3 linked regions of the Callithrix jacchus genome follow. The main gene of each other region encodes a partner of the protein of the gene in region 2 in a complex. Links are inferred from orthologs where the notes say so. Each region holds a gene or a part of one and is shown on either strand. Other genes may lie near its edges. The genes, in order: ETFB, ACADM and ETFA.

What was found.
Region 1: the proteins of ACADM (region 2) and ETFB are in contact, whole or in part, in a crystal structure (PDB 2A1T), measured with the Homo sapiens proteins. The link is inferred for Callithrix jacchus from reciprocal best matches to the Homo sapiens genes ACADM and ETFB. Residues at the interface, in NP_000007.1 of Homo sapiens: Glu43, Gln44, Lys46, Glu47, Phe48, Thr51, Lys54, Phe55, Glu58, Glu59, Arg80, Glu83, Leu84, Gly85, Leu86, Leu98, Leu100, Ile108; in NP_001976.1 of Homo sapiens: Glu73, Arg76, Thr77, Tyr192, Ala193, Thr194, Leu195, Pro196, Ile198, Met199, Lys202.
Region 3: the proteins of ACADM (region 2) and ETFA are in contact, whole or in part, in a crystal structure (PDB 2A1T), measured with the Homo sapiens proteins. The link is inferred for Callithrix jacchus from reciprocal best matches to the Homo sapiens genes ACADM and ETFA. Residues at the interface, in NP_000007.1 of Homo sapiens: Pro163, Lys173, Pro211, Gln232, Arg235, Glu237, Val251, Glu253; in NP_000117.1 of Homo sapiens: Arg223, Lys226, Arg249, Asp253, Ala283, Ile284, Gln285, Glu304.

What each region holds. Positions count from the first base shown.
Region 1 is NC_133523.1:44,942,902-44,950,374, reverse strand, and holds part of ETFB (electron transfer flavoprotein subunit beta), read left to right. Parts: intron 1-1,890; coding exon 1,891-2,049; intron 2,050-2,602; coding exon 2,603-2,761; intron 2,762-4,781; coding exon 4,782-4,844; intron 4,845-7,473. UniProt on the Homo sapiens protein: Heterodimeric electron transfer flavoprotein that accepts electrons from several mitochondrial dehydrogenases, including acyl-CoA dehydrogenases, glutaryl-CoA and sarcosine dehydrogenase.
Region 2 is NC_133508.1:112,937,914-112,946,186, reverse strand, and holds the start of ACADM (medium-chain specific acyl-CoA dehydrogenase, mitochondrial), read right to left. Parts: upstream 5,065-8,273; 5' UTR 5,032-5,064; coding exon 5,002-5,031; exon of another isoform or gene 4,985-5,001; intron 1,097-4,984; coding exon 1,009-1,096; intron 1-1,008. UniProt on the Homo sapiens protein: Medium-chain specific acyl-CoA dehydrogenase is one of the acyl-CoA dehydrogenases that catalyze the first step of mitochondrial fatty acid beta-oxidation, an aerobic process breaking down fatty acids into acetyl-CoA and allowing the production of energy from fats.
Region 3 is NC_133509.1:24,697,320-24,705,287, reverse strand, and holds the start of ETFA (electron transfer flavoprotein subunit alpha, mitochondrial), read right to left. Parts: upstream 5,335-7,968; 5' UTR 5,293-5,334; coding exon 5,254-5,292; intron 1-5,253. UniProt on the Homo sapiens protein: Heterodimeric electron transfer flavoprotein that accepts electrons from several mitochondrial dehydrogenases, including acyl-CoA dehydrogenases, glutaryl-CoA and sarcosine dehydrogenase.

The sequences.
Region 1 (7,473 bases), on a different chromosome or scaffold from region 2:
ACATGGCTGTCTCTGGTGTGCTCAGGGAAGCGTGAAGGCAGCGTTGAATCAGCTCCTGTCTTTTCCACAGTGGGGTGCTGCCTTCCTCTCTCGAAGTGCCCCAGGGCTCCGTGACTCACTGGATGTGTCTGTTGATGTCCTTTTCAGAACAAATAAATGATTCAGACCCTGCCAGCTTCCTCAACACCAGATTCGAACTGGGCACTGTCCCATCCCTTTCCCTTCTCCTCCCAAAGCTGTCAGTTCTCCACCCCTCACCCTTCCCGCCCTATAGTCCCTTGGTCTCATTGTCTCGCTGGTTCTCCCTGACTCCTAGTCTCTCCCTCTCAGCCCACCTCTACCCAGCCGTAGGGGTCTTTCTGCACCTAGAACTGACCTTGCTTTCTCCTGATCCCAGCTTGCCTGTGGCTCCCCAGCACCCTCAGGCCAGAGTCCCAGCCCCTCTGCCTGGCATTTGGGACCCTTTGTGATTCGGCCTCCTGTTCATAGTCTGCTTCAGCCATCCATGTCCCTCCTTGGACCATCCCTTACCCCTTGTGTTTCCGCCACTGCGACATGCTCCTCCTGTCTTGACAGAGGAGGCTGTGGCTCACTCATTCCATGCCTTATTCCAGCACCACCCTCCTATCTCTGCTGCCTGTCCTTTGTCCTGCCCAACTTCAACCCATGGATTATATCAAAATCTAGTGATTCTCGGCTGGGCATGGTGGCTCATACCTGTACTCTCTGCATTTTGGGAGGCCGAGGTGAGTGGTTCAGTTGAGGTCAGGAGTTCAAGACCAGCCGGGCCAACGTGGTGAAACCCTCTCTCTACTAAAAAAAAAAAATTAGCCAAGCATGGTGGTGGTATACCTGTGATCCCAGCTACTCGGGAGTCTGAGGCAGGAGAATCGCTTGAACCTACCCTTATACTGCAGTGGCATTTGTGAAACAGGTCAAGGTCACTGGTCATGTTATCTGAGGTGTTATCTGACCTCATTGTCTCACAACCAAGAGAATTAAAGAGCATGAACCACCCAAAGCATGAGTTTGGAGCCAAAGTTTAATAAGTAAAAGAAGAAAGGAGGGTAGCCCAAGTGGGTTGCTGTTTTTACAGTTGAATCCAAAAGCTTTTGTAAGAAACTCCTGTCATCTCTGCAGCTGTTTGAGTATCTTATCTGTAAAGCTATCTGTATAACTCCCTTATCTATGTAGTTGTGGGTGTGTCTCCAGGCAAGCCCAAGGGTTTGTTTCAGGTAAGCCCCGCCCCATCCCTTTGCAAGTTCCCATGGAGCCCACCTTGTATATGCCTGAAAAGGAGAGGGAACTTTTCCTGGGAGCGCATTAATCACACAAAGAACAAAAGCAGGATCTGTGCTGGATCCTGCCTGCTTATCTGTGCAGCTGCAGCCTGAGTTTTCTCCAGGCTGCTCTACTGTTGCCTGTAGCTATGATTTTTCAGGCAGGCTGCTTCTCCGAGTACCAGGCTTTACTGTCTACCTAACTGATTTTTCCTTTTCTTCTCCTCATTTGTATTTATTTATCAGTGTGTTATGTCTTTATATACACTTGGGGATATGGAAAAATGCACCTCTCACTCTGGGTAACCGTAAATACTGTAAATTTGAGAACCACTCTTTCAGGCCTGATAAGGAGCAGTGACAGAGTAGGGATGATCATGTCAGATGTCCCTGGTACCCAGGAATGGCTGGATGAGAGGAGGAGAGAGGGTGACCTGCCCCTGCCTACAAGCTCTAACCCAGCTTGTCCCTGAAGCTGTGTGACCCTGGACAAGGCCCTGCCCCTTTCCAGACTGTTGTCCCCTTCTAACCTGGGAGAGAGATGGCACGGAGGCCCCCACCTTCTGGCCTGTTTCCTCCTGACCCCGCCTCCTGCCCTCCTGCTGAGCAGATCCGAGTGAAGCCTGATAGGACGGGTGTGGTCACGGATGGTGTGAAGCACTCCATGAACCCCTTCTGCGAGATTGCAGTGGAGGAGGCTGTGCGGCTCAAGGAGAAGAAGCTGTTGAAGGAGGTCATCGCCGTCAGCTGTGGGCCTGCACAGTGCCAGGTGCTGAGTCTGGGGAGGGCCTGGTCTCCTGGGTCTGAGGGAGGAGGGGCTGTGGGCCTGCACAGTGCCAGGTGCTCAGAGTCTGGGGAGGGCCTGGTCTCCTGGGTCTGAGGGAGGAGGGGATGGGGGCCAGACTCCTGGGTCTGAGGGAGGAGGGGCTGAGGGCCTGGACTCCTGGGTCTGAGGGAGGAGGGTCTGAGGGCCTGGACTCCTGGGTCTGAGGGAGGAGGGGATGGGGGCCAGACTCCTGGGTCTGAGGGAGGAGGGGATGGGGGCCTGGACTTCTGGGTCTGAGGGAGGAGGGGATGGGGGCCAGACTCCTGGGTCTGAGGGAGGAGTGGATGGGGGCCTGGACTTCTGGGTCTGAGGGAGGAGGGGATGGGGGCCAGACTCCTGGGTCTGAGGGAGGAGGGGCTGGGGGCCTGGACTTCTGGGTCTGAGGGAGGAGGGGATGGAAGCTAGATTCCTGGGTCTGAGGGAGGAGGGGATGGGGTCCAGATTCCTGGGTCCCTCTGGGGATAGTAGCCAAGTCAGGCTCCTCTGTCCTTGGCAGGAGACTATTCGTACCGCCCTTGCCATGGGTGCAGACCGAGGTATCCATGTGGAGGTGCCCCCGGCAGAAGCAGAACGCTTGGGTCCCCTGCAGGTGGCTCGGGTCCTGGCCAAGCTGGCAGAGAAGGAGAAGGTGGACCTGGTGCTGCTGGGCAAGCAGGTAGCTGTGGTCAGCCCCTCCTTGTGCCCCGGCTCATCCCTGCTCAGGAGGAGGGTGCTGGGGATGTGGGATGGGACAGCAGGTGGCCAGGCCCAGGGCATTCAGCCACTCCAGGCTGAGCAGCTTGGGACTTTGCTGTCCCTTCTGATAGAGAATTTGAGTAGGGAGGACAGAGTCCCTCTAGGTGTTAGATCCTCCTGGGCCAGGCACGATGGCTCATGCCTTTAATCCAGGCACTTTGGGTGGTCAAGGTGGGCAGATCACTTGAGGTCAGGAGTTTGAAATCAGCATGACCAACATGGCAAAACACTGTCTCTTCTAAAAATAGAAAAATTATCCAGGCATGGTGGCAGGCGCCTATAATCCCAGGTACTTGAGAGCCGAGGTGTGAGAATCACTTGAACCTGGCAGCCAGAGGTTGCAACGATACAAGATCACCTGGGGGCAGAGTTTCTTTCAAAAAGAAAAAAAAGAGAAAGATCCTCTTGGGTGAGTTTAGAGACTGGGAGACTAAGGTGATGGTCACTTGGGGAGAATGAGGCCTGGGCCAAACCTGATGGGACAGAGCAGAGACATGATATGGCAGGAGAGACTGGGCTTAGCCATGGGGAGGGAGGGCAGGGAGGAGGCAAGGACAGTGCCTGGGTCTGCCTCAGTAACACAGGTAGGAAACCTGGGAAGAACAGGACGTTACAGGCAGATCCTACATGGGGCGTGTGAAGAGCCCAGGAGACATTGATATAGGTTCAGGAGACTTGAGAATTTTGGAGGGCACTGGGGAGCTATGGGAAGTCTATGAGCAGAATAGGGAGGGGATCAGCACTAGATGCAGAAAGAGCCCCCTTGGGCTTCGAGAATGGACTGGAAGCAGAGATTGGAGGCCAGGAATTAGTGAAGAAGGTTAGGGCTGGGTGAGGACCCGACCAGAATCTCCTCTGCCACACTGGTGCTCTCCACTGGGGCAGAGGTGCATGGGGCTCATCTGTTCCCTCAGAAGACCCTGGGACACCATCCCTCCTCAGGGGATCTCATGTAAATCAGGTGCTTCAGGCACAGCTTGATCCAGAGTCCCACATGAGCTCTAGGCTCCCCTCTATCTTGGCTTCAATGTCTGCATCTCCAGGCTCAGATCCCACCAGCCCAGTGACCCCAGCAGAAAGAAAGGAGCCTCTTTGCCAAGGGCTCCAGCAAAGCTCCCAGGGTTGACTCTTCTTTGGTGCAGCTTGAGTAATGTGCTCCTCCCTGAATCAATCACTAGGATTAGGGCTAGGAGGTCCTCGCCAGCCCAGATCCTCTTCATCCAGCTGCCCAGGGGCCACAGGGCAGGACTCCTGAGAGGCTTTATACAGAGGGCAGAGATTTGGTGACAGGGATGCCATGTGGCCCCACATGCCCCTGGACAAGTGGCTGCTTATCTCTGGGCCCAAGTGAGGGGATTTAGACATAAGTCAATGAACTATGGCCCATAGCTACCACTGATTTATAAATAAAACTTTATTGGAACATCACCACATAGGTTCATTTACATATTATTTATGCCTACCTGTGTGCCACAGCAGCAGAGCTGAGTCATTGTGACAGAGACTGTATGACCTGCAAAGCCTAAAATATTTACTACATCTATTCCACCATAGAAAAAGTTTACCAACCCGCTGGGTGTGGTGGCTCATGCCTGTAATCCTAGCACTTTGGGATGCCAAGGGGGTGATGATCATCCGAGGTCAGGAGTTTGAGACCAGCCTGGCCAACATGGTAAAACCCTGTCTCTACTGAAAATATACAATTTAGCTGGGCATGGTGGTGCACGCCTGTAATCCCAGCTATTCAGGTAGCTGAGTCAGGAGAATTGCTTGAATCTGGAGGCAGAGGTTGAAGTAAGCCGAGACTGCACCATTGTACTCCAGACTGGGCAATAGAGCAAGACTCAAAAAGAAGAGAAAGAAAGAAAAACTAGACAAAGACCCGAATGGTCCGTGAGCTCCATTGATCGTCATACAGTCTTCTGTCTCTCCCCATTCAGGCCATCGATGATGACTGTAACCAGACGGGGCAGATGACAGCTGGATTTCTTGACTGGCCACAGGTGAGGCTGGAGTGGGGAGCACCTGCTGAGGGCCAGGCCCTCATCCCTCCGACTTCATTTCTGCCTCAGGCCCTGTGCATTTGCTGTTGTTTCCCTAGAACACTGTTCCCTCAGATTGCCTTGTGGCTTTCTTGTTCCTCTCCTTGAGGTCTCTGCTGAGGTATCACTTCTTCGAAGGGGACTTTCTTGCCACCCTACATGAAATACTCATGCTCACCCCCGCAACTCCAGGTTCCCCAATCCCTATCTATGCCAGTCCAATAGAAATGCAGGCTAGAGCCAGGCACTGTGGCTCACGCCTGTAATCACTGTACTTTGGGAGGCCGAGGCAGGCGGATCACTTGAGGCCAGGAGATCGAGACTGCAGTGAGTCACGATCATGCCAGTGGGCTCCATCCTGGGTGAAAGAGGGAAACTGTCTCAAAAAAAAAAAAGAAACATGCAAGGCAAACAGGCAAATTTAATTTTTTTCACAGCCACATAAAAAGTAAAAAGAGAAAAGAAAAAAAAAGAACATAAAAAAATTTTTTTTAAAAATAAAGTAAAAAGAAACAGACAAAATTACTTTTAATAATATTTTATTTCACCCTACTATGTCTAAAATATTATCATTTTAACATGTAATCAACATAAAAAATATTAAGATCCATCTGCTCCACCAGCACTGGGGTTATGTCCTGACAAACCCATCATAAACTGGAAGTATTATAACTCAAAGAATGCGTTCAATATACTTAATCTCCCAAACATCATAGCTGAGCCTAGTCTACCTTAAACATGTCACAACACCACCGTTAGCCTATAGTGGGGTAAAATAATCTAACATAAAGCCTACTTTATAATAAAGTGCTAAATATCCCATGTAATTTATCGAATACTGTACTGGAACTAAATGGAATGGGCCGGGCGCGGTGGCTCACACGCCTGTAATCCCAGCACTTTGGGAGGCTGAGGCGGGTGGATCACGAGGTCAAGAGATCGAGACCATCCTGGTCAACATGGTGAAACCCCCTCTCTACTAAAAATACAAAAAAATTTAGCTGGGCATAGTGGCGCATGCCTGTAATCCCAGCTACTCAGGAGGCCGAGGCAGGAGAATTGCCTGAACCCAGGAGGCGGAGGTTGCCGTGAGCCGAGATCGCGCCATTGCACTCCAGCCTGGGTAACAAGAGCGAAACTCCGTCTCAAAAAAAAAAAAAAAGGAATGGTTGCATGGGTACTGGAAGTATGGTTTCTACTGAGTGTTTACCATTGCCATGCCATTTGAAAACTGAGAAGTCTTAATTCACTCCATTGTTAGTCAGGGACCACGTGTATTTTACGTATTTTGGATTTTCATTGTATTAAGTCTTCAAAATTCAGCATATATTTTATATTTACAACAAATCTCAATTCATGTGCTAAATTTTTTTTTCTTTTCTTTTTTTTTTTTTTGAGACGGAGTCTTGCTCTGTCACCCAGGCTGGAGTGTAGTGGCACGATCTTGGCTCACCGTAACCTCTGCCTCCCAGGTTCAAGCGATTCTCCTGCCTCAGCCTTCTGAGTAGCTGGGATTACAGGTGTGTGCCACCATGCCCAGCTAATTTTGTGTTTTTAGTAGAGATGGGGTTTCACCATGTTGGTCAGGCAGGTCTCAAACTCCTGACCTCATGATCCACCTGCCTCAGCCTCCCAAAGTGCAGGGACTGTAATTCCATGAGCCATATGCCTGGCCAGGTTCTAAATTTCCATGAGAAACACGTTCCTAGAGATGACAGTTGAAATAGATTGATACACCCAAATTGTTCAAAACAAACTTAAAAGATTTCCAGTAACTGCATTGGGTATCAGTTTTTTGTTTTAAAACAGCTTTATTGAGTTATCATTGACCTATAATAAACTGCACATATCTATGTTCTACGATTCGTTAAGTTTGCTTTTCTTAAAAACGTTTATTTAGAGATGGGGTCCACTATGTTTCCCAGGCTGGTTTTGATTTTCCGGGCTCAAGCAATCTACTCATCTCAGCCCTCCAAAATTTGATAGGTTTTGATATGTGTTCCATCCATAAAATCATCACCACAGTCATGATCATGTGTCTTGAATATCAGTATGCATTTATTTATTTATTATTTTTTTGAGATGGAGTCTTATTCTGTCACCAGGCTGGAGTGCAGTGGCATGATCTTGGCTCACTGCAGCCTCCACCTCCTGAGTTCAAATGATTCTCCTGCTTCAGCCTCCTGAGTAGCTTGGATTACAAGTGTGCATCACCATGCGTGGATAATTTTTTTTTTTTTTTGAGATGGAGTCTAGCTCTGTTGTTCAGGCTGGAGTGCAGTGGCACAATCTCAGCTCACTGCAACCTCCACCTCCTGGCTTCAAGTGATTCTCCTGCCTCAGCCTCCTGAGTAGCTGGGATTACAGGTGCTCACTACCACGCTCAGCTGATTTTTTTCATATTTTTAGTAGCGATGGGGTTTCACTGTGTTGGACAGGTTGGTCTTGAACTCCTGACCTCATGATCTGCCCGCCTCGGTCTCCCGAAGTGCTGGGATTACAAACATGAGCTACTGCGCCCAGCCAATGTTTGTATTTTTAGTAGGGACAGGGTTCACCATGTTGGCCAGGCTGGTCTCGAACTCCTGAC
Region 2 (8,273 bases):
AAGAAAATTTTTATTTAGTCTTTGGCTAGAGTCACAGGAAAAAAAAAAAAAAAAAAACCACAGAAAATTTTCATTTCTGAGTACAGTGGCTCATGCCTATAATCCCAGAACTTTGGGAGGTTGAAACAAGAGGACTAGTTGAGCCCAGGAGTTCAAGTCTTGCATGGGCAACATAATGAGACCTCATCTTTAAAAAAGAAAAGAAAATTTCTTTAAACTGTGATTCAAAAAAAAAAACCTCTGTAAAGAAAAGGGAAAGATATTTAAAAAACAACAACAAATAATAATAATAAAACAATCCCTCTAGAGAACTTTGAGATTGTCATTTGAACCTAGCTGTGAGTTATCTCAGCTGCCTTTAACTATAAGACCAAATGAATTGAGTAAATAGCTTTTAACTACAGGAAAAATAAAAAATTTGAAGAAGCACTTTAGGAGGCTAAGAATGCCAAAGATGGATATTATTATTTCAAATTTTGTGCTTGTGGTTTTCATTTTATAGAAGACAGAGGAAGAAAAATCAAATTCCTTTTCCCTATAACAACCACATGTCTCCCTGGTCTCAGGAGAACTTCATCTAATAGGACCGAAATTGCAGTTCAGATATATTAAAGCAAAAACAAGCTTTAGCTTATTACCATGCACCTAGCATTGTAATCTAACAAGTGTTTTAAAATGCATTTGTGGCATTCAAATACATAAGTTGAAGACTATTCATATATATCAGCAAATCTCATTTATTTTGGGCTAAACATTTAGAAAAAAAAGGAAGGAACATAAGAAGTGTATATATGCTGCTAACACAGATCTAATATATAGTGTAGTATACTAAGAAAGAAAATGAGATCAGGAAGAATGGGTGTGATTAACCGTGAACTATATATGGACCGTGGACTGGTTCTACTCATTTAAAGACATTATTAATTTTATTTACAAACAAATTCCAAACAAATACATAGAGCTTCATATATATAAGTTTAAAGTCAAAAGATAGAACAGAACATATACCAAAACTAAATCCTAATCCTGGTTCACGTTGTAGAGCAGATTTTGTATGCTGTGATCGCCAATGAAAACGAGAAATACTTCTCAGGACCTGTAAAGAACACTTTTATTAAAATACATTTGATAAGTTTAACATCAATCAGATAAGAGAATACTGATAATTATGTGAGTACAGCAACTTGTTTGAGGATACTCATAGTTTTTACAGTCATCATTATTTAAATGCTTTCAATCATAATTTAAGTAAGCCAATTACCGGCTATCTAAACTCCTATCATAGAGGAGATGTTTTTAAAAAGTAATGAAAATAAAATCAGTGGTATTAACACTATTGAAGTGGAGGGTTTCCAGGACAAACAACAGTTAAGGGTAGTAGTAGACGTAGGACCACTATTCTGGGTGTCTTACAAGCTCCTAGGACATTGATGATTGGAGAGTTGGGGTGGGGAGAATAATAGGCTGGAAGTGAACATACTGTGTTCAAGAGTTGCCTAGTCCATCAACTTTGATACCCTGTCCCTGTAAGCCTCCCATGCATGCCTCTGGGAACCTTCCCCTCAGAGGATTTCATTTTTTAGGATACCCCACTCTTAACAAAACAAATTAGCATAAAACCATGTTCTGTATTTTCTGCTCATTGTCTACAGGCATTGTTACAATGTTCTAAGGAAGGAGTCACCAAACTATGGCAGCCAATAGTTTTGTAAATAAAATTTTATTGGAACAAAGCCACATCATGCTGTCTATTGCTGCCTTCACAGAAGATCTAAGTAGTTACCACAGAGACCATATGGTTCACAAAGGCAAAAACATTTACTATCTGCTCCTTTACAAAAAATATTTGCCAACCCTGTTCTAAACTACTAATACACTACTTGTCTTAGGATCTGAAATATATTCATATTTCTTCAAAGGAGCATATTTAAAAAATCAAATATACATATATCATTGCTTTGCATTTTTATATTCATGACAGTTTAATGGATACAAAAGTAAACATTTGTATTTATTAAAGCTGCCAGACTGGAGACCACAATGGTCTTCCTGAGTAAGGGTTTCGGGACAGCCAAAATTATACAATTTTCACTGTAAAATATTTTGATTGAACTATCTGGCAATTTTAATAAGCTTAGATACTAAGAGAAAAGAGAAGCTGAAGAATATACTAAAGTTTCTACAATTTAACTTATGTTTTTCAAAATCTGTAAAAAGAAACTGTCTTTGTAGATGACAATTTCAACTTATAAAGAGAATTTCCTACGTGTAAGGTGACAATATTATTGTCAAATATTTGTAACTGAAACAGAGCTTTCAAAATAACATACCTCATACTATAATTTAAAAAGACCATGAAAGCTCACATTTTCTTTGCAACTTCATTAGTTTTATTTTGAAAGTTAAACAGTTTCTCTGGTCTTCATTGTCCAGTAGTCACAGACCAAATCTATTCTTGTTTACAGTCACCTTAGGTTAATTCACTGAATCCCAGGTCAAGCCTATGATTAAGTCATTATTTTTATTCCAATTTCACATGTGAGGAAACGAAGCCTCAGAAAGTCAACTAAATTAGGCAAGTTACTCTACTCTTAGTGCAACCAGGATTCTAACATTTACTATCAAGAGCGCATGCTATTTAACCACCTTGCCATACTGATCTTTCTATTGGTCTCCTAATTGGTCACTAAGTTCCATAACAAAGAAAAACTTGCCACAAAAATCAGAACAAAAAAACCCGACTCTATTATACATATGCTTTTGAATACCATACACAAATGTCAGAACTCAAGCCAGGTTAAATGGTCTACTGAGAATTTTGTTTTTTTTTTGACAAGAGTTTCCCTCTGTCACCCTGGCTGGAGTGCAGTGGGGCAATTTCGGCTCACTGCAACCTCGGCCTCCTGGGATTACAGGCATACGCCACCACGCCCAGCTAAGTTTTCATATTTTTTAGTAGAGATGGAGTTTCCCTATGTTGGCTAGGCTGGTCTCGAACTCCTGGCCTCAAGTGATCCGCTGGCCTAGGCCTCCCAAGGTGCTAGGATTACAGGCGTAAACCACCGCACCTGGCCAACCGAGATACTTTATTTTTTGAGACGGAGTTTCATTCTTGTAAACCATGCTGTAGTACAGTGATGCAATCTTGGCTCACTGCAAACTCTGCCTCCTGGTTTCAAGCGATTCTCCCGCCTGAGCCTCCTGCGTAGCTGGGACTACAGGCGTGTGCCACTACACTCGGCTAATTTTTGTTATTTTTTTTAGTAAAGATGAGGTTTCACTATGTTGGACAGGTTGGTCTCCAACTCCTGACCTCAGAAGATCCGCCTGTCTCAGCGCCCCAAAGTCTGAGGCCCAAGAGACTTTAAATAGGGGGAAAAGTCACTTCACATATGACTGTTCAGGAAAATATGTTACATAGAACGAAGTGCAAAGGTTGCTATTACCAGAATACAATGCCCATCAATTACATAACAAAGTTAGCCAGTTAATTAAAGAGGTGGTTTACAAATAGAAAACAGATATATCACGGGATGTGGACTTAACAATTGCTGAATTTGAATCGAGGTTTCACAGCTACAGTTGTGGCCTTAGATTACAAACTGCCTATAGCTTCCATTCAAACTGAAAAATAGGGCTAATCTCACTGTGTATGTTGGGATGTTTAAAATAAGATAATGTTTTCAAAGCCTAATGCTATATAAATATTGGTTTTATTACTACTATAATATTGGTTTTATTATTGCTCTCTGTCTAGAACAACGGAATTTTAAACATCGAAACGGCACCACTAGAATTAAACATTTTGTGCATTTCTTAGAAATATATGAGTGTGGCCGGGCGCCGTGGCTCAAGCCTGTAATCCCAGCACTTTGGGAGGCCGAGGCGGGTGGATCACGAGGTCAAGAGATCGAGACCATTCTGGTCAACATGGTGAAACCCCGTCTCTACTAAAAAATACAAAAACAAAAACAAAAACAAAAAATTAGCTGGGCATGGTGGCGCGTGCCTGTAATCCCAGCTACTCAGGAGGCTGAGGCAGGAGAATTGCCTGAAGCCAGGAGGCGGAGGTTGCGGTGAGCCGAGATCACGCCATTGCACTCCAGCCTGGGTAACAAGAGCGAAACTCCGTCTCAAAAAAAAAAAAAAAAGAAAAAAAAAAGAAAGAAATATATGAGTGTTAGTTTTATGAGTGAAAGAAGAAAAAAAGGATGTAAGTTTTCTATATCAGGTTTTTTAGCTCCTTCCTAGGAGGCTGAGAAATCTACTTTTCTGGCGATGGAGTTAAAAATAGCTAAAATCTTCCAATTTCTGCCTTCACTGCACATTAACCTGTATAAAAGCAGCAAAATATGGACAGCAATTCTTTAGGATTATTCTAAAACCGCAGCTTTTTTGGTCAAAAACATAACTTTAAGTGACATCTAAATGGCAGTCATGTGAACATACCAAGAATATTTAAGATCCCCAAATGCATCTAGTGACAAACCTATTTAGACTCTGTAAGACACAATACTAGAATATATAGACAAGTTCACATAAATTTCCGCGGTTTTTTCTTTTACCGTTTTTTCCCGTAAGCAAAGTGGACGCGTCCTCCACCATATTACACAACTAAAAGCTTATTAAATATATTAAGTATCTCAAGGAGTAGCTGCTCCATTTTCCTTTTTCCCGAGGTTCTGACACAGAGACAGGTTCACTTCGGAAAAAGGTGGGTAAATATTTGGAGGGTTCCCGGGCCAGAAAAAGAAAAACGATATTCTAAAGAAAGGATGCCGCCTATAAAGGGGTCTGCTGATGGGAGGATACGGGAAAATGAAACTTCGGACTACGTTCCGTCCCGTGGTAGGAGGCATGAAAGTAGGGCCGGGGTCCCCTAGGCGGGCTCCTTCCTCTGACCGGCTTCTCACTCCTCCAGGCCGCACTTATTTTTGGCCCATGACCACACACCACAATACTCATGCCCCAGCCCCACCGCAGCGCTGGGCTCCCTCTCACCCTGCAGCATCGCACGAACCCCGCTGCCATGTTGGCTCCCGTTCCGGCCACTCGGATAGTAACACCCAGGTCAGTGCCTTGACAGACTCCCCAAGCGCAGGCCCCCTCTAGACCCGCCCACCAGGGGCCGTGGGCGGGGCGGAAGTAGGCGGCTGGGCCGCCGAAGGAAGGGGTGCAGCTCAAGTAGGGTAGAAGGGGTCGCTGGCGCCGGGTTTCCAACGCCTGCTCCGTGACGCTGACCTGCGCGATTGGTGCGACTTAAGGAGCTGGTTCACCCCCTCTCCGGGCGGTCCCTCATAAGCCGGGTCTAGTTCTCTGCGTTCCCATGTTTCGCCCTCTCTGTGGGACGCTGAGGCTGACAGCCGCCCCGGGGGAGGTGGAGCGGGGGAGGGGCCGGTTGCGGGGCTGGGAGAATCTGCTGGCGCCCAGCGGTGGGGGACTTGCGGCGCGGTGCAGCACGGGAATCTGGGTGAGAGGGCGCGACGAGGGCCTGGAGGGAGAGGCGCTCCCGTGGTTAGCCCTGACCTTCACCCAGAGAGGACGGTCAAACCCAGATCATGTCTCCTTGGCGGATTCAAAGTACTAAAACATTTTGTTCTCAAACACTGGCGGATGTTTGTATTTCATTAGAATTTAAAATAATTTAGTTGCTTGGGTAAATTACACCTTTCCGCATATTCCCGAGGCTGTTTATTACTTGTCCACTGGTGTGGATGTGGTGGTGTTGAATCCGGGTGCAATATGAGGCTGTCCAAAGTTCCTGGGTTAGCGAATGATGGTTGGAAGTGAATGTCTCCCTGAGGAATTTACTTGAAGTCACTCTCTTCCAGTGAGACCCGGAGTTTTGATATGTAGCTGGAATGTTTTAAAATGGGTGTCTGTAAAGCTGTCCAGGTTTGGAGACCTTGTTGTGGAAGCTAATGAAAGCCCAAATGCGAGCCTGCAGTGTAAATGTTTCCCATGTTGCTCAGGACTTTGCCTTTTCATTGCTGCCATCCTAGTTTAGGCCTTCAGCACTGCACCCCTAAATCTTATACCACCTTAACATTTTATTTTGCCTAATAAAGATCACCTATTAAATTCATTCTAATTTGGCTGTTAAATTTCTATATACTAAGATTGTATTTCCCTACTTTGTCCTCTGGGAATTTATAGTGTGTTAATTCTGGGTACAAGGCAGAATATTAATTAAGTGCTGTATTCAAAGCAAAAATAGGAAAATTCAGAAAAGGGATAAAGAGCTGAGTTTGTCCTGGTGGGCAAGAAAGGCTTCAGAGTGGTAAGTAAAACACAAAATGGACTCTTAAAGATGAATAGGAATTGTCTATGCATGTCTTCTTTGTTCGAATTTCCTATTCTGAACATTTTAAACACAGAAAAGGTGAACGAAAAGCACAAAATCACCCATATGCCTATTGTAACTGCCCAATAGATTCACCTTGCCCACTGCCTGGACAGAGCCCTTTTATCAAGACAGGGGTATTACAATGAAGAGTAGTTAACACAGAGGCTGTGTGGGAGATGGGAATTTTATTATTATTAAAATCAGCCTTCCCCAGCATTTGCAGATCAGCGTTTTTAAGAACTTTTTTGGTATAGGGAAGCCAGTGAGCCAGGAGTGCTGATTGGTTAGTAGATGAAGTTACAGGGAATTGAAGCTGTCCTATTTCGAAGAGTCAGTTCCCAGGTGGGTGCCACAAGATCAGATAAGCCAGTTTATTGAGCTGGGTTGTGCCAGCTGATTCATCAAGTCCAGGGTCTGCATAATATCTTAAGCACTGAACTTAGGAGCAATTTAGGGAGGTCAGAATCTTGTAGACTCCAGCTGCCTGACTCCTAAACTATAATTCTAATCTTGTGGCTAATTTGTTAGTTTTACAAAGGCAGGCTAGTCCCCAGGCAAGAAGAATATTTGTTTTGGAAAAGGACTGTTAACATCTATGTTTTAAACTATAAGTTCTGTAACTGCCCAAGGAGTTCACCTTGCCTGCTGCCTAGACAGAGCCTATTTATTAAGATAGTAATTGCAATAGAGAAAGAGTAATTCACACAGAGCTGGCTATGCAGGAGACCGGAGTTTTATTATTACTCAAATCAGTCCCTTTAAGGAAAATTTGGTGTTGGTGGTGGTGGGGGGCAGTGAATCAGGAGTGCTGATTGGTTGGTTTAAGGATGAAATCATAGGCAGTTGAAGCTGTTCTTTTTTGCTGAGTTACTTCCTGGATGAGGGCTACAGAATTAGATGGCACATCCAGGTGGGGCCATCTGGTTGTTAGACATGCAGAAACCTGAAAAGACATCTCAAAAGACTTAGGTTCACAATGTTACTTTCAAGACTTACTGGGGTAGTTGGCAAATCTTATCACCTCCAAATAATGGCTGGTAATATTTAGAGTTCCAACCCCTCTCATCTTGACTTGGTAGCTGGCCTTTCATTTGTTTTACAAGACTAGTTTAGCCTTTTGGGAAGGGTTATTATATAAACTATACACTAAATTCCTTCCCAAAGGTTTCTTGGCCTATGCCCAAGAATGAACAAGTATAGTTTATAGATTAGAAGCAAGATGGTCAGTTAGGTCTGATATCTTTCACTGTCATAATTTTCTCAGTTATTTCTGCAAAGCTGGTTCCAATCCCTCCCAAAGTGAGTTCAACCTACGCCTGGGAACAAACAAGGACAGCTTGAAGATTAGAAGCAAGATGAAATTGGCTAGGTGAGATCTCTTTCACTGTCTCAGTCATAATTTTGCAAAGGTGGATGGATTATTGAAGCGGCTACGTTGTCTAGGGGATATACCTGGGGTTCATCATTGCGTGCTAGGAAAATTGGGGACATGGACCCACACGAAGATTTTAGGAGTGGAGGTTTAATAGGCAGAAAAGAAGATAAATAGAAATATCTCTGTCTATAGAGAGGGGCTCTGAGTGGAAAGCACCTGCAGGTGGTGGATGCACTGAATTTTCTGGTCAGGTTTGAGAAGGTGGTGTCTGATTTATAGAGGGCTCACAGATTGATTTGATCAGGTCTGATGTTTACATAGTACATGGGGAAGGTTGGTTGCTGTACCCTAATCTTATGCAAATGGGGTTTCCAATTGATTGGCACTGTCTTGTCTGCTTCTTACTATACATGTGATTGGCAGAGAAGGGAAGAGGGAGCCACCATCTTGAACATGTCTAGTCCTTAGCTCCTGCCAGCATTCACCCTTGCAAACTCCCAACTTGGCTGCCTATGTCTGCAGCTCAACTTTACAGGCTGCTCTTCATTAGAA
Region 3 (7,968 bases), on a different chromosome or scaffold from region 2:
AAAAAAAGAAAGAAAAAAAGAAAGAAAAAAAAAGCTGAAATCTCTGTACTTTCCCTTACAAACCCACTTACAACCTAAAGTAGTAAGAATGATTTTAACCTATACCGCCGCCCCAATCATCTTTGGAAATCAGATGTAATAAGGGCATGGGGGGAGGGTGGTGTTTGCTTCTTAATTAAAAAAATTAATAAAATGGCAAGAATAAGCTATAAAATCTTTCTAAGTCATACCCAAATGGATAAATAATATATAATTAAAGTCACCTATCCCTACTTTAATATACATTTTGTAATTTAAAAATGTATATATTTCTGTACTTTAAATGCTTCCTTTAATCTTTTTAGTAATAAACTATAGCAGCTTTTAATCATGACCAGAAATGTTATATGACATTGACTGTAATACTAAAAACACGGTCAATTTACTTCACTTTAAGAACAGACAAGACTCTTAGTAGACACATTGGCAGGCATAATTTTACTGAATTCACCTTATGCAATAAATTTTCTTTTAGAACCACACCAAAATTGGCTTACTTTCTTCTTTCAAGAGAAATTTAAATTTGCATGCAAATTACAGAGTTCAATCTTATTCATCAATACTAGACAGAAAAATGTCATGTTCCTTCACACCAGCTTCGCAGTTTCTCAATCCTGATAGATACTCCTTCCCACCTGGCAATGAACAATGACAAGAATAGTCAAATGACCTTGAAAGTGCTGCTTCACTCACCACAAAAATATTTTTTGGCATCTTATTATTCATCAATAAATCAATTTCAAGAGCAAATCAATAAAATAATAATAATTAGGATTACTATCCCTGTAAGAATATTAACTGCAAATGCCTACTTATTTTCCTCTCAGTGTGTTCTCTAGCTCTTTATTAGATATTAAAACGACCTTTGTTAACAGATGACTTTGAGGACCATTTCCACACACACAAGAATGAAAAACTTTGCTCAATGGCACAAGTCAGTCAAAACTGAAAATGAAAACTTACATTCCAAATACAAGTCACCGAACTTATACTAACCGTTTAACAAACTGTGGTTAAAAAAATATATGCAAAATGTTTACCATCTTTTTTTTTTTTGGAAACAGAGCCTTACTTACTCTGTCACCCAGGCTGAAATGCAATGATGCTATTTGGGCTCACTACAGCCCCGAACTCCCAGGTTCAAGCAATTCTCGTGCCTCAGCCTCCTGAGTAACTGGGACTACAATACAGGTGTGTGCCATGGAGCTCGGCTAATTGTTTGTTTTGGTAGAGATGGCGTTTTGCCATATTGCCCAGGCTGGTCTCAAACTCCCGAGCTCAGGTGATCCACCTACCTGGCCTCCCAAAGGGCTCGGATTACAGGCGTGAGCCACCATGCCTGGCCCCATCTTAACCATTTTTAAGTGTATAATTTAGTAGTGTTAACTATATTCACACTGTTAACAGTTTATGGTAATCTTTTTTTTTTTTTTTTTGAGACAGAGTTTCGCTCTTGTTACCCAGGCTGGAGTGCAATGGCGTGATCTCGGCTCACCGCAACCTCCGTCTCCTGGGTTCAGGCAATTCTCCTGCCTCAGCCTCCTGAGTAGCTGGGATTACAGGCACGCGCCATCATGCCCAGCTAATTTTTTGTATTTTTAGTAGAGATGGGGTTTCATCATGTTAACCAGGATGGTCTCCATCTCCTGACCTCGTGATCCACCCGCCTCGGCCTCCCAAAGTGCTGGGATTACAGGCATGAGCCACTGCCCCAGCCCGTGGTAATCTTTTAGAGTTCCTAACTTTATTTTTTTAAATACAGTTTTGGAAATGTATCCTCTTCAAATATGCATTAACAGTTACCTACAGAACAATTTTTTTTTTTTAATTTTAAGAGTGAGGATTTGAGATAAACTATTTGACCCTGTGAGAGCAAATATATATATGTAAATAAACAGGAGTCAGATTGAACGGGCTCCCATTTTATAAATGAGACAACTTGAACATAAGGTAGAAATGGATTATAACCTACTAAATAAGGATCCATGAATCCATAAATCCATAAATATGCAAGAAGATAATGTTCTTCTGTACAGCAGAACAACTAAAAAATGTAGAAGGTGTCATGGAAACAGAAAATCACTATTTTGCATCATAGTAATCATTTATCAGGCAAAAATCAACAGATGCTAACAGTGGGTAAAAGTCTGATCAGAGGCCCGGCACAGTGGTTCACGCCTGTAATCCCAGCACTGTGGGAGGCCAAGGCAGGCGGATCAAGAGGTCAGAAGATCAAGACCAGCCTGGCTAACATGGTGAAACCCCGTCTCTACTAAAAATACAAAAATTAGCTGGGTGTGGTGGTGCGTGCCTGTAATCCCAGCTACTCAGGAGGGAGAGACACGAGCATTGCTTGAAAACAGGAGACAGAGGTTGCAGTGAGCCAAAATAGCCCCACTGCACTCCAGCCTGAGCAAGAGACTCTGTCTCAAAAAAAAAAAAGATGAAAAATAGGAGAGTTACATACATAGTCTCAACGTATCTCCTCACAAATTAGTTAAAAATTACAAGAGGAGGAGTATTCACTTGACAGTGTAGAAACCTGGCAAACACCACTTTGGCTAAGTAATTAAAGTTAGCATTACCACTAATGGGATAAACCAACATTAAGTACCTCCTAACATGATGCACAGGGAACACAGTATCACTTTTGTGCTATTCCCACCAAGAATATATGACCTGAATCTAATCATAAGGAAACACCAGACAAACCCAAAGTGAGTGACAGTCTAGAAACAGAAGGCCTGGGGGAAAAAAAAAAAAAAGAAAATAGAAGGCCTGTAGTCTTCAAATACACCAATATGTAAACCCAAAGGAAGGCTGAGGAACCTTTCTATCAGAGTAAAGAGACATGAAAACCATATGCAGGGCACCTGAGGTGTCTTAGACCAGAATAAGGAAAATTGCTATAAACAGTACTAATGAGACAACTGGCAAAATTGAACATCTGTAGATTAGAAAACAGTATTTTATTGTGAAACTCCCAGATATTGCCAATTACAGTGCAGTCAGAAAGTGAACTTCTTCGTTCTTTTAAAACATCACTGAATTATTTAGGAGTAAAGGGCACATTTGCAACGTACTTTCAAATGGTTCAGAAAGATAGTATTATGTATATATGTAGAAAGATAAAGCAAATGTGTCAAACTGCTAACACGCTGGGAAAACCAGGGAAAGGGTTTTGAGACTTCTTCCTACTATTCTTACAACTTTTCTATAAGTGCAACTGTTTCAAAATTTAAAAACTTAAATACCAGGTATATGTACCTAGTAACATGTGTCCACTTTAGAAGTGTTGCCACCATTTCTTTCATGCTAGAAATTCAAATCTCTCAAACATTCTTAATGACTTTAAAACAGCTATTCTACTTAGCTTGACTTCAAATTTTAAAAGCAAGTCAAGGTCAAAGTCCTCGGCAAACCACAATGAATATTTGGAAGTCATGTCTATACACATTAGCCAACGGTGTGAATAATAAGAATTACTTAATCACTCCATTTTTTTCTGTTAGCTCTACAAAATTGCTGAGTCCTAAATTCCATCCCCCACCACAATTATAATTTCACTTAGACCAGACTTGTAATCTGTCCACAGAATTGTTTTCCAACTGTTGCACAGAGAAGCATTCTTCCGTAAGTCTGGCTCTGGTTCCTGGAATTTTCCCAAATTCATGACTTTCACTTGTTTATGTCTAGATCCCCTAAGGGGAGGGGGGAACATGTCCTGAGGGGAAGACAGGACACTAACCTGAAACATATGGGTTTAAACTCTTTAGGGGAAGGTGGAGTCAGGGGTCAGGACTTTTTATCAAACAAGGAATATACACAAGAAAAAAGGATGTCTAAAGCCGGGTGCAGTAGCTCACTCCTGTAATCCCAGGACTTTGGGAGGCCAAGGCAGGTGGATCACCTGAGGCCAAGAGTTCGGGATCCCGGGCAATATGTCAAAACCCCATCTCGATAAAAAAAAAAAATACAGGAAAACTAATTAGCCAGGCGTGGTGATGCACACCTGTGGTCCCTGCTACTTGGGAAGCTGAGGAGAACCGCATGAACCTGGAAGGTGAAGGTTGCAGTGAGCCCAGATCGTGCCACTGCACTCCACTGCAGCCTGGGCAAGAGAGCCAGACCTTGTCTCCAAAAAAAAAAAAAAAAAAAGAGTCTAATGTCTACAGACATCTAGAAAGAGCTCCAGATATACCTCAGAGAGAAAAATCCCAGGAGTGAATGGGGAAAATATCCATGTACCAAAAAAAAAAAAAAAAAAAAAAAAAATTAGAAAAGGTACAAACCATTAGGTAAGTTTCTGACCCAAGTTTACCAATCTTCTTTCTCCTTTCGCCTAAATGTAAATTAGGAAAACTACAGAATCCACAATATAAATTATTACTTGACTTATGACTGGTCTCCAAATACTACTCTTCCATTGAGAACGAAAATATATTTCCTATCAGTCGTTCTCACAGGGAAGAGAGAAATGTGGTTTGTCACTAATGAAACACCGAAAATGTACCACTATCACCAGTTACCTGGCTATTTAACCTACAATATGCTGGTTAAAAGCAAGTCAGTATATAAAAAGACGTCGGCCTTTGAAAATTAGCTAAAGCTGTCAAATCAGACCACAGGTTTTACACATGCAATCACCTAAACTCAGCCCTGTTCCATAAGCCAGAAAGCAGAGCCAGCTGCCATAACCAGCCACGCCGCCTCCCACCCCACCCCACCCCGGCCCTAAGTGAGTGGTCGGAGCAGCCACAGCGCGCCCAAAGTGTTTATTTCTTCCAGAAATGTCGGCCTCTGGAAGGAATCCAGGTTTTAAACTTTCCCCAGCAGGGCATTCCCCGGCGACATTTTGTTCCCTCGGGTGTGGAACAAATGTGGAGGACCTGGCGGCCCGAAAGTGCCCAGAGTGACTGAGAAAGGTGGGAAGCGGCAGGGCAGACAGTGGGCCAGGAGGACGGGCAGCAGACGCGCAAATTCACATCATTCGGGGTCACCTGGACCCCCGACCTCTGACTTCTGCCCGACCTGGCGGCCCGGAAGGAGTCCAGGGCAGGCCCCAGAACTTTGGAACAAGCCCCAGGCCGGAAGCTGCGGGCGGGCGCGAGGGCTGGTCGGGCCTGAGGGAGCCGGGGACCTTTGCAAGATCCCATAGGGACGGCAGGTTGAGGGGAGACGGTCCCTGGGCTCGCCCTCCCTGTCCGGACTCACCGCCCTCCTGAGCTGCCCCGGAGCCGCCGCTCGGAACATTGTCTCCGCGCCCGCCGCTACCTCGGCCTCCCAGCAGCCGGTGCCCGGCCGAGCGGCACCGCCCCCTCCAGTCACCTAACGCTCGCGAGACGCGCGAACGAGATCGGACGCCCTAGGCCGGGAGCGCGAACCCACATTTCCCGCCTGCCCATTGGGCGGTCGCGCAGCCAATGGAGGGCAGGAAGTTAGGAGCTAGACTGGGAAGTGGGGCAAAGGTGAGGCTGTTCCCTTGGGGTCTTCGAGGAAGCCGGGGCCGCGGAGCTGCGGAGACTGACCCAGCTGATGACGGAGCTCAGACTGTACTGTCTCCCAGCCCCGCAATGGGCGACACTGTTAGAGTGAACCTCAAAACTGAGCTGACCTCGGGGTGACATATGAGTGGAGCCATGCTAACTCCAATTAGATACCTTTCCTATATGCCCGTTTCCCCCTGTCCTTCCCCATGGTAGCAGTTGTCACATGGGTTGTAATGACCTGGGTACTTGTCTGACTCACCCATCTAAGCTCTCTAAGGGCAGAAAGTATGTCCTGCTTTTAAATTTGGTGTCTATCTGCAACACCTAGAGCAATGCCTGGCTCATGGTAGGCATTTAATCAGTATGTGTTGAATGAATCAGCAAATGAATAAATGACTGCTGATGAGTCCGGACTTCATCACGACATTGTTAAATAGGGAACTGATATGTTCGGGAATTGTCTCAGTTCCCAATTCAGCAACAACGTACCTTTCCAATGTTATCTAGTCTATCAACAAATCCCTTTGATTCTACCTTCAAATGATAACCAGAATCCAGCAATTTCCTCCAACACCCTTTACTCCTCCACCAGAACCACCTTCACTCAGGACCCTATCATCCCTCACCTGGATCATGGCAAAGCCTCCTAGCTAGTCTTTATGTTTCTACCCATGCTTCCAGAAGGCTCTTCTCCAAACTGATGTACTGATCATGACCGCTGCTCAAAGCCCTACGATGGCTCCCTGTCCTCCCACTACCCTCTTCTCTCACCGTGCCCCGGACACACAGGCCTTCTTGAGCCCACAAGCCTGCTCCTCTCAAGAGCTTTGTACTCTGACTGTTCCCTCTGCCTGAAATGCTCTTCCCTTGTTGCTCCTGTAGCGTGGTGTACGTCCTCACTTCATTCAGGTCTCTGCTCAAAAACTGCATTTACAGAAAGGCTGATCTTGGCCTCTGTACCTAAAATAGCACCCAGGCCCCTCCCAAACTCCCTGTCACCTTGTTTGATTTTTCTTCTTTTTTTTATCAACTCCTAACGGGATGCACTTGTTTATCTGTTTATTGCTGATCTCCCTGCATTGGAGTGTAAATCCCCTGGAGCAAGAGTCTTGTCTGAACCAACAAGCATGCTAAGGGCCCTGTGATTTTCTGGTCGTCCCTCTGTCGGAAATTCCCTTCCCCATCTGACAAGCCTCTTTCAAACCCAGCTCAAGTGACAATTCTTCTTTTATTTTGTTTCAAGACAAGGTCCCACTCTGTTTCCCAGGCTAGAGTGCAGTGGTGCCGTCACAGCTCACTGCAGTCTCCAGCTCCTGGGAACAAGCAATCCTCCCAAGCTGAGCTGCCTCAGCCTCCCAAGTGGCTGGGGTTATAGTCATGTGCCACCATGCCCAGCTATTCATTTCTTTTTTCTTTTTTTGTAGGGACAGGGTCCCATTCTGTTACCCAGGGCTGGTCTTGAACTCCTGGCCTCAAGTGATCCTCCCACATTAGCCTCTCAAAGTACTGGGATTACAGGCACAAAGCCACCATGCCTGGCCCAAGTGACATTTCTTTTGTAAGCTTTCTCGATTCTCCAGGATGAATTAATTCTTTCCTCTTTCTCACTCTTCTAGCTCTGTGAACAAGGAGGTGAGGATTCATCTTAAACATAAGCAGCCACTTCAAAAATGTCTGAATTCATGTGGCGGACAGAGCTGTGGACCCCTGCCCCCCAGTAAATCTGCCTGTGGGAGGGACAATTTAGCATTCCATGTCTCACTGCATTTGCCTCCTAACCCAGTCCCCCACAGAACTAGAATCTGAGACCTATGGGAGTGGAAGGAAGAGGGAAGGGTCCTTTTAGTAAAAATGGAAAAGGATATTTTACTGAAAACCATGTTAAAAACCCGAGATACAAACTCACCTCCTTCCCTGCCTCCTCACCCAGGACAAAGCGAAACACAAAAGGGGAGAGTTGTTAGGGGGGAATCAGCAGCAGCTGTGCACAGCAGAAGCTTGGTGTCCCTGGGATTCCTGGCAGAGCAGGTCAGAGCCGAGGGAGAGGCTGAAAATGGGCAAAGTTGTGACACCTGACCAGACCTGTTTTGATCACACGTGAAACACCCTCTGAGGCTTTGGGATGAAGGGGTATCAGGGTTCTACAGTCATATGCAGGTTATATACCAGAGAAATGTGTGTGCTAAGAAATTTCTATTAGCGGATTTTCCCTAGAGGTATATGAGTTCCCCACTCCGTTATGAGCTGCTTTGGTGGCAGGACCCATGGTTTCTTTTTATTTACTTATTTTTATTTTATTTATTTATTTTATTTTATTTTATTTTTGAGACAGAGTCTCACTCTGCAGCCCAGGCTGCAGGACAGTGGTGCGATCTCAGCTCACTGCAACCTCCACCTCCCAGGTTCAATCGATTCTCCTGCCTCAGACTGCCAAGTAGCT